3 linked regions of the Tribolium castaneum genome follow. The protein of the gene in region 2 binds, or shares a complex with, the protein of the main gene of each other region. Links are inferred from orthologs where the notes say so. Each region holds a gene or a part of one and is shown on either strand. Other genes may lie near its edges.

The links.
Region 1: the proteins of Pex14 (region 2) and Pex5 are in contact, whole or in part, in an NMR structure (PDB 4BXU), measured with the Homo sapiens proteins. The link is inferred for Tribolium castaneum from reciprocal best matches to the Homo sapiens genes PEX14 and PEX5. Residues at the interface, in NP_004556.1 of Homo sapiens: Thr31, Phe35, Asn38, Arg40, Val41, Ser44, Pro45, Thr48, Arg49, Phe52, Lys55, Lys56; in NP_001124497.1 of Homo sapiens: Glu59, Leu62, Val63, Glu65, Phe66, Leu67, Gln70.
Region 3: the proteins of Pex14 (region 2) and Pex19 are in contact, whole or in part, in an NMR structure (PDB 2W85), measured with the Homo sapiens proteins. The link is inferred for Tribolium castaneum from reciprocal best matches to the Homo sapiens genes PEX14 and PEX19. Residues at the interface, in NP_004556.1 of Homo sapiens: Leu28, Thr31, Ala32, Lys34, Phe35, Asn38, Ser39, Arg40, Val41, Ser44, Thr48, Phe52, Lys56, Leu58; in NP_002848.1 of Homo sapiens: Gln67, Phe70, Phe71, Leu74, Phe75, Ser77.

Annotation. Positions count from the first base shown.
Region 1 is NC_087395.1:23,163,073-23,167,453, forward strand, and holds the start of Pex5 (peroxisomal targeting signal 1 receptor), read right to left. Parts: upstream 2,906-4,381; 5' UTR 2,804-2,905; coding exon 2,614-2,803; intron 2,561-2,613; coding exon 2,427-2,560; intron 2,380-2,426; coding exon 2,188-2,379; intron 2,137-2,187; coding exon 1,980-2,136; intron 448-1,979; coding exon 1-447. Other genes in the region: ubiquitin-protein ligase E3B, read right to left, coding at 3,327-3,499, 3,552-3,663, 3,713-3,877, 3,924-4,053.
Region 2 is NC_087395.1:22,142,542-22,145,950, forward strand, and holds Pex14 (peroxisomal membrane protein PEX14), read left to right. Parts: upstream 1-1,438; 5' UTR 1,439-1,597; coding exon 1,598-1,663; intron 1,664-1,711; coding exon 1,712-2,014; intron 2,015-2,059; coding exon 2,060-2,487; intron 2,488-2,535; coding exon 2,536-2,617; 3' UTR 2,618-2,769; downstream 2,770-3,409. Other genes in the region: AP-2mu (AP-2 complex subunit mu), read right to left, coding at 1-194, 241-459, 508-670, 815-991. UniProt on the Homo sapiens protein: Component of the PEX13-PEX14 docking complex, a translocon channel that specifically mediates the import of peroxisomal cargo proteins bound to PEX5 receptor.
Region 3 is NC_087401.1:15,465,584-15,468,763, forward strand, and holds Pex19 (peroxisomal biogenesis factor 19), read left to right. Parts: upstream 1-1,559; 5' UTR 1,560-1,662; coding exon 1,663-1,729; intron 1,730-1,776; coding exon 1,777-2,414; intron 2,415-2,463; coding exon 2,464-2,571; 3' UTR 2,572-2,630; downstream 2,631-3,180. Other genes in the region: pickpocket protein 19, read left to right, coding at 407-557, 609-709, 762-867, 919-946; Pgk (phosphoglycerate kinase), read right to left, coding at 2,713-2,852, 2,902-3,002, 3,053-3,180. UniProt on the Homo sapiens protein: Necessary for early peroxisomal biogenesis. Acts both as a cytosolic chaperone and as an import receptor for peroxisomal membrane proteins (PMPs).

The sequences.
Region 1 (4,381 bases), about 1.0 Mb from region 2:
ATTTGAGCAACATTTGTGCAGCCTGACTGTAGTAACTCTCGTTGGTGTAACAGACAGCCAAGGCCATGAGCGCCGTTAAATTATTGGGTTCCAGTTCTATACACTTTTTCAATGCCGGTATGGCATTACAGTCCTGTTCGTTTTCCGCTTGGGTTTTGCCTAATAGTAGCCAAGCTTCGCTGTTTTCAGGCTCTTGTTTTACGGCCGCTTCGAAACATAAAACAGCCGACGGCAGATCGCCGTCTTCGAGCAGTTTTTTGCCTCTTTGTAAAGGGTCAGGAATATCAAACATGGGATTTTCTTCGGTAAAGGTATAGTCGTTGTATGGGGCAGTATAGTAGGAGTCGAATTCGCTCGCCCAAGTGTTTTCGCTAGATTCGGCGCCTTCTAGAGTTTGTTTGAGCTCTTCCTGGAGGTTGTTCCAGTATTTGGAATTGAAATCGTCTTCTGAAATTAGGGCTCAAGGCTAGTTCTCGACCTAATCATTCATTTTGTATTAAAACAAATAAAATTTCTTGATATCACTCGTAAAAATCAAGACTTCTGTAACTTAATATTAAATATTTAACATTCATGTGGGATAAGAGCATTATTCACAAACTGAGCGAAAATTGCACAGTTGTGTAATCGGATAAGTTTGTTAACAATGCGTTATCACAACAAAAAATCCATATCTTAGAAACAGCTTTTTTATATCACTCGCCTGTATTTATTTATTTGGACTTTAAAATGTGATATTTTTCAAGAATTTTTTTTTGAAATTTCTTTTAGGTTTCGAGTTATTAAAAAATATTTTTTTAATGGCACACTTGTACGGCGATTTTTTTTTTTTTGGATGACGCTTGGTTCCAACGTAATTACAGCAAATAACGAATACAGCGGAAAGTTTTAATAAATTCAATGCTTACATTCGAGAGTAAAATTAAAAATTTCCTTTTTAATAATTAACTTTGCTCAACTGAGTTAGGTAAGTGATGTTGATAATAAACATAAAGGAATTTTTTCCTGTGTATTTTTTTATTTTCTTAAAGAATTCTTTCTTCTTGCCTTTGTTCCTGAGAGACTGGCAGTGATTTTTCTTTTTAGTTTTCAGTTCTTAAGTAATTTCCGATTTTTATTTTTATTCAAGTTCTATATTGTTTATTTTATTTTAATTTAATTTTTTTATATTTTCTGTTAATTTTTCTTTGAAGGTAAGTTGAATACCTTCAAGCTAGACTGCGCCTTCTCATCTGTTTATTATTGTTCAATTTTATTTAATAAAAAGCTTTGATTTATTATTATTATTATTTTTATAAATAAACTATCAAAAAGAAAGTAAACAAGTGTCAAGAACATAAAAATTAAAATAAAAACTAGATTTTAAAGATAAAAGCGCTATTAATAACTATTAATTAATTTAAAAAAATGTATTTTTCAATTAAATAAAAATTGAATCCAGATGAAATTTTCATAGGAAATTAAACTTTTTTGTATTTCATGTGAATAAAATGTGGAAAACAAATACACAAACAGAAAATAATACAAAAAAAAAGAAACTGGTTTAATTTAAATCCTTGATAATTATTTAATTTATGATCTCGAAATTTAATAAAATTCGCTTTTTGGTTTTTACTTACCTTGTACTATTTTTTTTTCTGGTAATAATATATTAAAAAAATCGATAATTTGTTCTGAAAGTATAAAGTGATAGGTAATCATGTTAACTACATTCAAAAACTTAGTTCAAAAATCTAACAATTGAACAGCTATATCTCGTAACAAAAGGCTTAAACAATTTTTTATCAAAACGATTTCTAACTCAGTTGGATGTCTTTTTTCATTACCTAAGATATATGATATTATTCTGTATAATCGATAATTTTTAATCGCCAATATTTGCAAAACCTCAAAACCCTAGCTCAAGCCTTTTGGTTTATTACTGATTTTAACATTTTTGTAAAAAATAAATAAAAACTTTTTAAGGAAAAGATGGTTACCGTAATCCTTTTCCCACTTTTTGGCGACTTTTTCAGCCTCCGCTTCGTTGTTATTTTGGAGGAACTCCTTGCTCCAGGACTGCGCCTCTTCCTCCGTCAGCCTCCCGTCCTCCAAATTAACATCACCATCGCCGACTTGTTTCATGAATCTCATAAACTGAAACCTATTCATTATTTACCGTCCCCAAACCCTGACGTAACGTCTGACCTTCGAATACACAAATTTGGGGTCATCAACAGCCTCAACAAACTCCCGAGCGCTCTGCTGCGAGGCATTTACCTTGCTGGGCCCTGGCAGTATCTCTGGGAAATTATCAGTGCCCCAGTCGTCCACCACAGCCGCATTGTTCTGCTCCTGCGAGAGGATCTCCGTCCAGATCGCCTCACTGTTCACATTGTCCTTGAACACAAATGACAGTGCAAAACTCACAACCAGCGCCTATTTACATTGAAGATTTTCCCGTCGTCGATGTACTGCTGCGCCCAGGCGTCGTCGTGGATCTGGTCCTTGATCGTGGAGGCGGGAATTGGCGGCAGCGCCGACCTTTGAGACTCAATTTCGTGCATTTCTCGCATCAAATCTGGAAGCGTCACAGGTGAATTACGGGGGTTTTAACGCACGGGGGGGCCCTACCGTCCATCCGGAAGCTCTGGGGCACCGACTTCGTCTCTTGCAGGAACTGCTCGACCAGTTGGTCCGAGCTGCTGGGGAAGGCATGCCCGTGGGCCTCCGCGAAGGCATGATCGTGGGTCAGGTGCGACGTCAGGCGGGCCAGGGGGTTCTTCTGGCCGCACTCGGCCTCGGTCAAGGGGTTAAATGCCATTTTTTCGGTTTTTAGCCCAGTTTACACAACCAAGTGCATTTTATCAAAACAAATTCCAGATTGACGTAAGTGACACTGACAAGGCCACTGGCACGGCTGCCAACCGGCACCAGTGGCAAGCCACAATCACCAAAAAACGTGATAACTGATAAATAAAACTTTTTTTCTAATATTTAGTTAATTAAACACAACATTTGGCTAAAATAACGTAAATCTGATCGAATGTTTGGCTTAAAAGACTTGACGCGGCGCCAACTTGGTGCGTATAGTGACATGTCATAGTCACCAAAAATTGAGGGAAGCCCCGGGAGTGAAACAACTCGTTAAAATATATTTTATTACATAAGTAAATACAACAAAGACATCACAACATGGAAGTGATTATAGTCAACAAATTGGGTTAAAATAAATTAATCTGATAAAATATTTGGCTTGGAGAAAAAAAACACGGATCATCGTAATATTAAAACACAAAAGGTTGATATGGGTGTCACATATGTCGAAATTCCATTTCCACTAACAATTACGACAACTCAAACCCAGTGTTGCAAGTGACAGCGTACCGCAGCTTCTCCCTCAAAGTGCTTTTCTTTTGGTAGTTGGGCAGCTTCAAAAGATTGAAACAAGTGGAAGACGTCGGTAAGCGATTCTGTGGGTCCTTTTTCCGTATCGTGAAAAACCCCCGAAAGACGCTTCCTGAAATCCCCTCCAGATTTTTCCAAAATCTAACAAATTGCAAAAAAAATACCGATCGTGTCTCCCGTGTCTTCATCATCGCCAACTTCGACACACCTAATCGAAAAGGGCGGCTCCAAATGAGCGAAGCCTAGAAGCGGCGGTTTGGAACAACTTGTCACAAACTGCAATTACCTAAGTTAGGAAAATTGGGCTTTAAATTACGGGGGGCACCTTTAGGAACATTCCTTTCTCCTCCTCGGTGAAATCCTTTTCTAAAATATCCCACAGCCAACCCACCACGCGGTGCGAGTCGTGAAAACCGCCGTAATACTGAGTGTGTTTGCGCAAATCTTTCATGTCTAAGGGGACATTATCACCCGAGATAAGGCGTTGCAACTGGAAATTTATTGTTAAAAGAGCGTTTTCAACGGTTTGAACCCACTTCAGGTGTTGAAAAGAGCGACAACCAGTCGGGGTTGATAATCGAGCGGAAGCCGCGAATGAAAGCGCTGGTTTGGTCCTTGATTTGCACGTGCATTCGGAAGTGGGCCATCAAGTGGATGTAATTGATCCTAAAAGCACAATTCATTGGAATTAAAACAAAAATATTCGTGGAAAAAAGGAGAAAAAATGGTAATTTCAACAGAAAAAACAAAAATTTGAAAAATGAAATATAAAGAAAGACAAGACTTTTTACGTCTGACACTCCAAAGGAAATACATTAAATATCTTCATATAAAAAGGTCACTAATAAGAATTTTCTTTTTTTTATCTTTTCCTAAACCAAACTTTCTTTATTATTCATAAAAACTTCGTCCGTATTATAAGTTCTCACTTAGAAAAAATTATACTCTAAGGATTTTATTTTACTGAACATTGCAGAATACATATAACATTATT
Region 2 (3,409 bases):
GAACTGGCAATCGTCAATTACAACGACTGGTTTGCCAGACCGGGTCTGATCGGAATCAGACGTCGACCCTAAGCCCCCTTTGCCTTTGGCTTCCATCACAATCTTGTCGTTAATCCCGAACTTGCATTCGGGCATTCCCGACAAATACGACTTCATCACGACTTTACCGGCCACGTGGGCCGAAAGAACCTGGCCTAAAGTTTTTTATGAAAACAAATTCAGGAAAAAAAATTATAAAACCTTGAGGCGACATAAGTAGGTTAACATATTCCAAAACATCCAAAAACAACTCGTTTCGACGATACTTGATACCCTCACGCCTCCAACCAATCTGACCAGTAACCTGTGACGTAATCTGAGCTTGTTCTTCCTTAGTGGCCGATTTGATCCCTTGTTGGGTTATGAACGTTTTCAAAACGCCGGTATCGGTGTTTTGAGGGTAACCAAAGTCCAGGATTTCTACAATTTTCATGTAATGACCAAATCAATGCAACTGAACGATTTTACCGTCTAGTAATTCATAAATAAGAACGAAATTATTTTTAATATTCTCTTCAGAGATTTTCCCAAAATACGACTGCATGACTTCGATAATCTTCAACAAGAACTCAAAAACCATGGCGGCGTTGACATTTTGCTTTGTTACGGCGGCAATCCAAATATTAGCCCTCTGGAAATCAAAAAACACAATTTCGACCGAGACTAGACTCATTTGATACAATTTTGTGCAAAATTCGCAAAACAAGCAACAAAAAGGTTGTGAAAAAGTTGAAATCGCACCAGTTTTTGTCCAATTTTCAAAACCAAAATGTACCTTAATGTGGAAAAAGGACGTTCGTGCTATGTTTGTGACCGGAGAGCGGACTTGTTGTCGGGCATGTATAACATTAACCCGAAACGCATCGACCGCATTTCTGCCGATATCATCCCTGTAAACTCGGGAAATGAGGACTTCGCCCTTGTGGTTGTACACGAACAACCCCCCGATCATTCTGCCGGCTCAGCTCTCGCCTAATGACCTAAAACCAGGTGTAATCACTACAAATGCAGTTTTATTCACGCCGACTGAAATCGGCCAAAAATTGGACAGTTTGAGGGAAAACTGGTTATTTACCGAATTGTGAAGTCATTAGAGGCTTTTTACGCACACACTTTTGTGATTTAACGGAATTATTAGTTAAAGCCGAACGGTTTTTATTTTACTTGGCCATCATACACCCACTGACAACTTGTCACTGCGATAATCCAAAGAGTGTTTGGTTTCATAATGCGCTCGATAACGCTTCCATGTTAGCAAAAACACAAAAATTATTATTATCGCAATTATCTAATATTATTGACTAATGCTTAAAGGTTTCTACAATAAAATCGCAATTTTTTTTTGAAAAAAAGTCGTCTTTTGACTAAATTTAAATAGTGACTTTCGCTTTGTCTCCAGGAATTTGATTTGACAGCGTCCCAATGACATTTGTTTTTGTTTAACCTTGGAATTTGAGATTGAAAATTAAAAGTTTGCAGAAAAACAAGTGTGGTGTCTTCCGAACTCGCGTTATCACTTCCATGTATCAATTTTAAGTAATTAGGTTAGTGTAAAACCATGTCTGATCAACTGTCCTCACTTGAGGAAAATCGCCCTGAGACTCCCCCAGTTCGGGAAGATTTGGTAAGTTGTTTAGGTTAAATTGCCCCATTTATCGATTGCTAACTGTAGGTGAACACGGCTATAAAATTCCTGGAGAACCCCAACGTGCTCAAAACATCGCTAGGAGAACAACAAAGGTTTTTGAAACGGAAGGGTTTAACCGATGAGGAGATCAGACAGGCGTGCGAGAAATCGGGGGCTTACAAATACCACGAACAAAGAAATCGGACGCCGCCTCTGCCCCCAAGTTCCCTAATTCCGTACCCAAACAGTGCAACGGTCCAAATTAGTTTATTTGATAAGGTTAAAGAAGTTGTACATAATGTGGCCATTTTTAGTTTCGTAGCGTACGTCGTGTACAAATTTTACATGGTGCGTGTTTCCCGTGGTTAAAAGCCGCTATACCATTTTTTGCAGAAATTTATAGCGCCGTTTTTCTTCGGGAAAAAGAAGAAAAGTGTAGAGGAGTCGATAGATGAATTAGACAAGAGTTTTAAGCAATCTGTGAATGACTTAAAAAACAATTTACTTAGTGTCAAAGTAGAAGTAGATAAAATTAGTCAAGGGGCTGAGAGCAGCACGCAGCGGCAATTATCAGACTTGAAATCTGAAATTGCGACAGTCAAAGGCCTGCTCCTGAGCCGGAATCAATTTCCGCCGGTTTCCAAAAGCTCAGTAGTCCGTCCGTCGATACCTGCGTGGCAGAAGACTAGCATAAGTCAGGACTCCGACCCCGACTCAGACCCTGAGAGAAAAGCCGAGGAACTGATGGAAGTTGGGTCAGGATCAGGGTCTTCGGAACATGAACATGCAGCAAAAAATAGTGATTCTAGTCTAGATATAATGCAAGTGGTTTGATTTTTTCCGGACGGGTTTTATTGATTTTATTGCAGATCTTTCTCATCCAAAGATAGTGATTTTAGAAGACACAAATCCAAAGATGTTGACGATGATGACGACGACGATAAAGATTAATCTTCCAAAAACGAGGCCATTTAAAGTAGGAAACACTTGGTTATTAGGTTTTGCAGTTAGCTGACATAGGATTAGAAAAGAAGGGTAATTTTTTTGTGGTGAGAAAATATTTTTAACTCTGCCTTATGGCAGCAATAAAACTCTGGATTCTACTTAAATAGTTTTATTTCACTGTAAAAGGTCATTTATTAGGTACTTTGTTCCAAGTTTGTATAGAGTTACTGTACAGTTTAAACGCTAAAACATGTATTTACAAAGGTTAGGATTTGTACCTAGAAACTAACAATTAACTATTCCAAAACTTGCCGTAAGTACAACCTACCAGGCAAAAAAAAACAATTTTTTCTAAAGACAGCACACCCTATTTGACTATTCACAAAAGTGTGAAGTAGCACCTTATCTAGTAGTTTCAACAATAACATTAAGACAGCGTCACAATTTACAATTATTTACAAACCAAAACTGTTGGCAAGCTCCCAACGGAGTTGGCAAAGCTTACTTAAAAAAATTGGCCGCGTGAGGGCGCTTAAGTACAGTTCAACTGTAAATAAAAATTGGCCACGAAATGTGGTGTTCAACTCAGGCACCGAGTTTATGATATGACAATAATTGGTGCCAAAAATCGAAGCTTTGCCTAATTTTAGCCAAGCTGAACTACCTATATACATTATTATCTAATCTAGTCCCAATAATTTTGAACACAAAATTATTGTTTCGTATAATTATTTTCTGATGCAGAAAATAAGATCAGAGTCTTGGAAAACTTACGCTATTTATGTACAATGAGCTGAA
Region 3 (3,180 bases), on a different chromosome or scaffold from region 2:
TTTATGAAATTTAAAAAGCAGATATTTTAGAAGATAAAGATTAAAATCCAATTAATGCAAAAACTCAAGTCTTAAAAACGTAATTTTTACATGCCTTTTTAAAATGCTAAGCCTTTTAAGACTTATATTAAAAAAATTATCGTTAGTGAAAAATGCTGAAAGAAAAAACTCGTTCGTGGAAGACGTCTGTTTTGCGAGAAAAATGAGAAGCAAACTGTTAAACGTGGGTACGGATGCAAAAAAGAAATGTGTTTTAAAATTTAATTTTTTAGTTGAGGTCATTTTTTTGCCCCTAAAATATGTGCATTCTAAATTTCATAAAAATCCGTTGACAAATATCTGAGATATCAGGCTCGAAAGTCTTAGCTGAGACACCCTGTATACTTTTTTATGAATGGTTTTATAGAGAAGTGGACTTCGCTCTTTCCGGACGACCTTGAGCCAGGCCCGTATTTGCAAAAAGAGCGCCAAGATTCGCTACGTTGCGATAATAAATGTTACTCGTCATGTGCTGAAACGGTGTACGAGGCCCATGCCAATTCTTTCCCAATTTTGAAGTTTGGCAAAATTATTTAAAAAAAAACTTTTTTTTTATTTCTAAGTTTCAGTAAAACGGACAACAACGTTACTCGAATTTTTGTGTATTATTCGGGCAGGTTTTCAAAGTTGTACCTTCAAGACGTTGTCTATTACTGGTTCGAAGTTTTGAGTAATTGATAATTTATTATAGTGTGAAATTTTCTTCTAATTAGCAATTCCAGGCAATTTTGGCGGCATTTTTGGAATATTTGTTGGTTGGAGTTTGATATTTATTATACAATTGTCGGCCTATTACACGCGAAAAATCCTAGAGAAAGTACTTAAAACGTAACCAAATCATTTTTTGTGGAACGTTGGATGGACTTTACTTTATTTTAGAGTGATGACATTGATTTTAAACACTTAGATACGAAAAGTAGTAAGAAAGCCTTTTCAGAATACTTTGATTTTTTGCCCTGTTTTTAAAGTATATTTAAAAATTAATATTTTTTCAAAGATTTCGCCCTGTTTTTATATTGAGCACAAAAATGAATAAGGTTTCATCTGAGCCAGTGGCGGAACTAGGGGTGGGCTCATGAGGGTCCATATTTAGTTTCATTTTGTCTGCTTTTTGCTGTTGGATCTCAACCCACTCTTTTATTATTTATAAAATATATATTTAAATAATAATTTAAAATGTAAATAATAAATATAATAAATGATAATAAATAATAATAAATAATAAATAATAAATTAAATATAATTATGATATATTTGCTATTTATACTAACGGAATTAATCTTTTCGGACGTTACATAATTTAACGTAAATCCTTTTATTCTACAAACATTACCTGTATTACTCTTATAACAATAACAAATGCGTCTTAAAGAGTGTGAAGCGAAAAAATAAATTTTTATTTTCAAATTGCCCATATTTTTCTGTCAAAAACGGCAAGGTACCAACCACACAACAACAAATTATAACGAAAAACGTGGTGGTACACCCTTTTGTAGAAACCTGTAATTGATAGTTGAAGGGAATAGCGACAGGTGGCCTAAAAATCCCCAAATCACCTGACATTTCCCTAACCTCACTTTTGTAACAAATTCTTAAAGCTTCCCGTTTTATACCAATTTTACAATGAGCGAGTCAAAAAAGCCCGATTCGGCCTCAAAAGTGGACGCCGAGTTGTCCGAGCTCTTGGACAGTGAGTCCCGTGGTGTAAAATTCGTTGCGTAACTCCCTCATTTCAAGGTGCTTTGGAAGACTTCAAAAGCGAGCCGCCCAAAGACAGCAAACCTGCGCCCCCACAGGACGAAATCCCGGACGTTGAGTGGTCGGACGATTTTATCCGACAAGCCGCAGCTCAATTCGAGTCAAACTTTGCCAATTTGCTTGGCTCAAACCCTGACGGGTCCCAGTTAACCCCCGAGCAAATCCAGGCCAAGTTCCAGCAAATGGCAGAGACGGCGCAACAAGTCATCGAAAATCCGAGCGGAGACTCGGGTGATTTCGCAGCCACGATATCACAGACGCTCCAGGGGCTGAGTCAGGGGGCTGAGGGGCTCCAGAACCCCAATTTGGAGCAGGATATTATGAACTTGTTTGCGGGACAGGGGGACCAAAACGCCTTTATGCCTTTCATGCAAGGGATGATGCAGAGTTTGCTGTCCAAGGACGTGCTCTATCCGAGTCTCAAGGACATTTTAGACAAGTTCCCGGAGTGGTTGAGCAAAAATAAGGACAAGTTGAGTCAAGAAGACGCAGAAAGATACGAAAAACAACAGAAATTGATGGAGGAGATCTGTGCCGAGTTAGAGAAGGAGAAAGAGAGTGATAGTAGTGAGCAAAAGAAGGAGAGGTTTGACAAGGTCTTGAGTTTGATGCAAAAGGTGCGTTTTTTGTTTAATGTTGTTCCAAGAATGATTTTTCTCGAATTAGTTGCAAGATTACGGACAACCCCCGACCGATCTAGTGGGCGACGTGGGGCCCCCTTTGCCCCTCGAAATGCAAAACAACGCCGACCCCAATCAGTGCAATGTAATGTAATTGGTGAAAACACTGTTGTTTGTTATTTATTATTTAAATAAATTGTTTGGGAAAAAACCGCCATTTTGTTCACCCAATACCAACCACACAAACTCAAAATCACTAGTTTATTACAATAATTTACAACAAAGTTCGGGAAAATCAAGCGTCGGAGAGGGCGGCCACCCCTGGTAGGACCTTGCCCTCCAGTAGCTCCAAACTGGCGCCCCCGCCCGTCGAAACGTGCGAAACCTTATCCTCAGTCTTCCATTTTGCGGCACAAGTGGCCGTGTCACCGCCACCTAGAACACCAAATTTGACAAAAACCGCCCACAAAAGTGATTTAATTACCAATAATCGTGACACAGCCCCTTTGAGTCGCCGCCACGACTTCATCCATTATGGCTTTGGTCCCTTTTGCAAAATTTTCAAACTCGAAAACACCGGCTGGCCTAGAACCCATAGTTGGCCACGGTTGCTAAAGTCAGTCGTACCAACTTACCCGTTCCACACTATCACTTTGGCCCTCTGAATGGGGGCTTTGAACGCTTCGATCGACTTCGGCCCGATGTCCAGCCCCATCCAGCCGTCGGGGATCCCCGCCTCGAGAGTGGCAGCCCCCACTTGCGC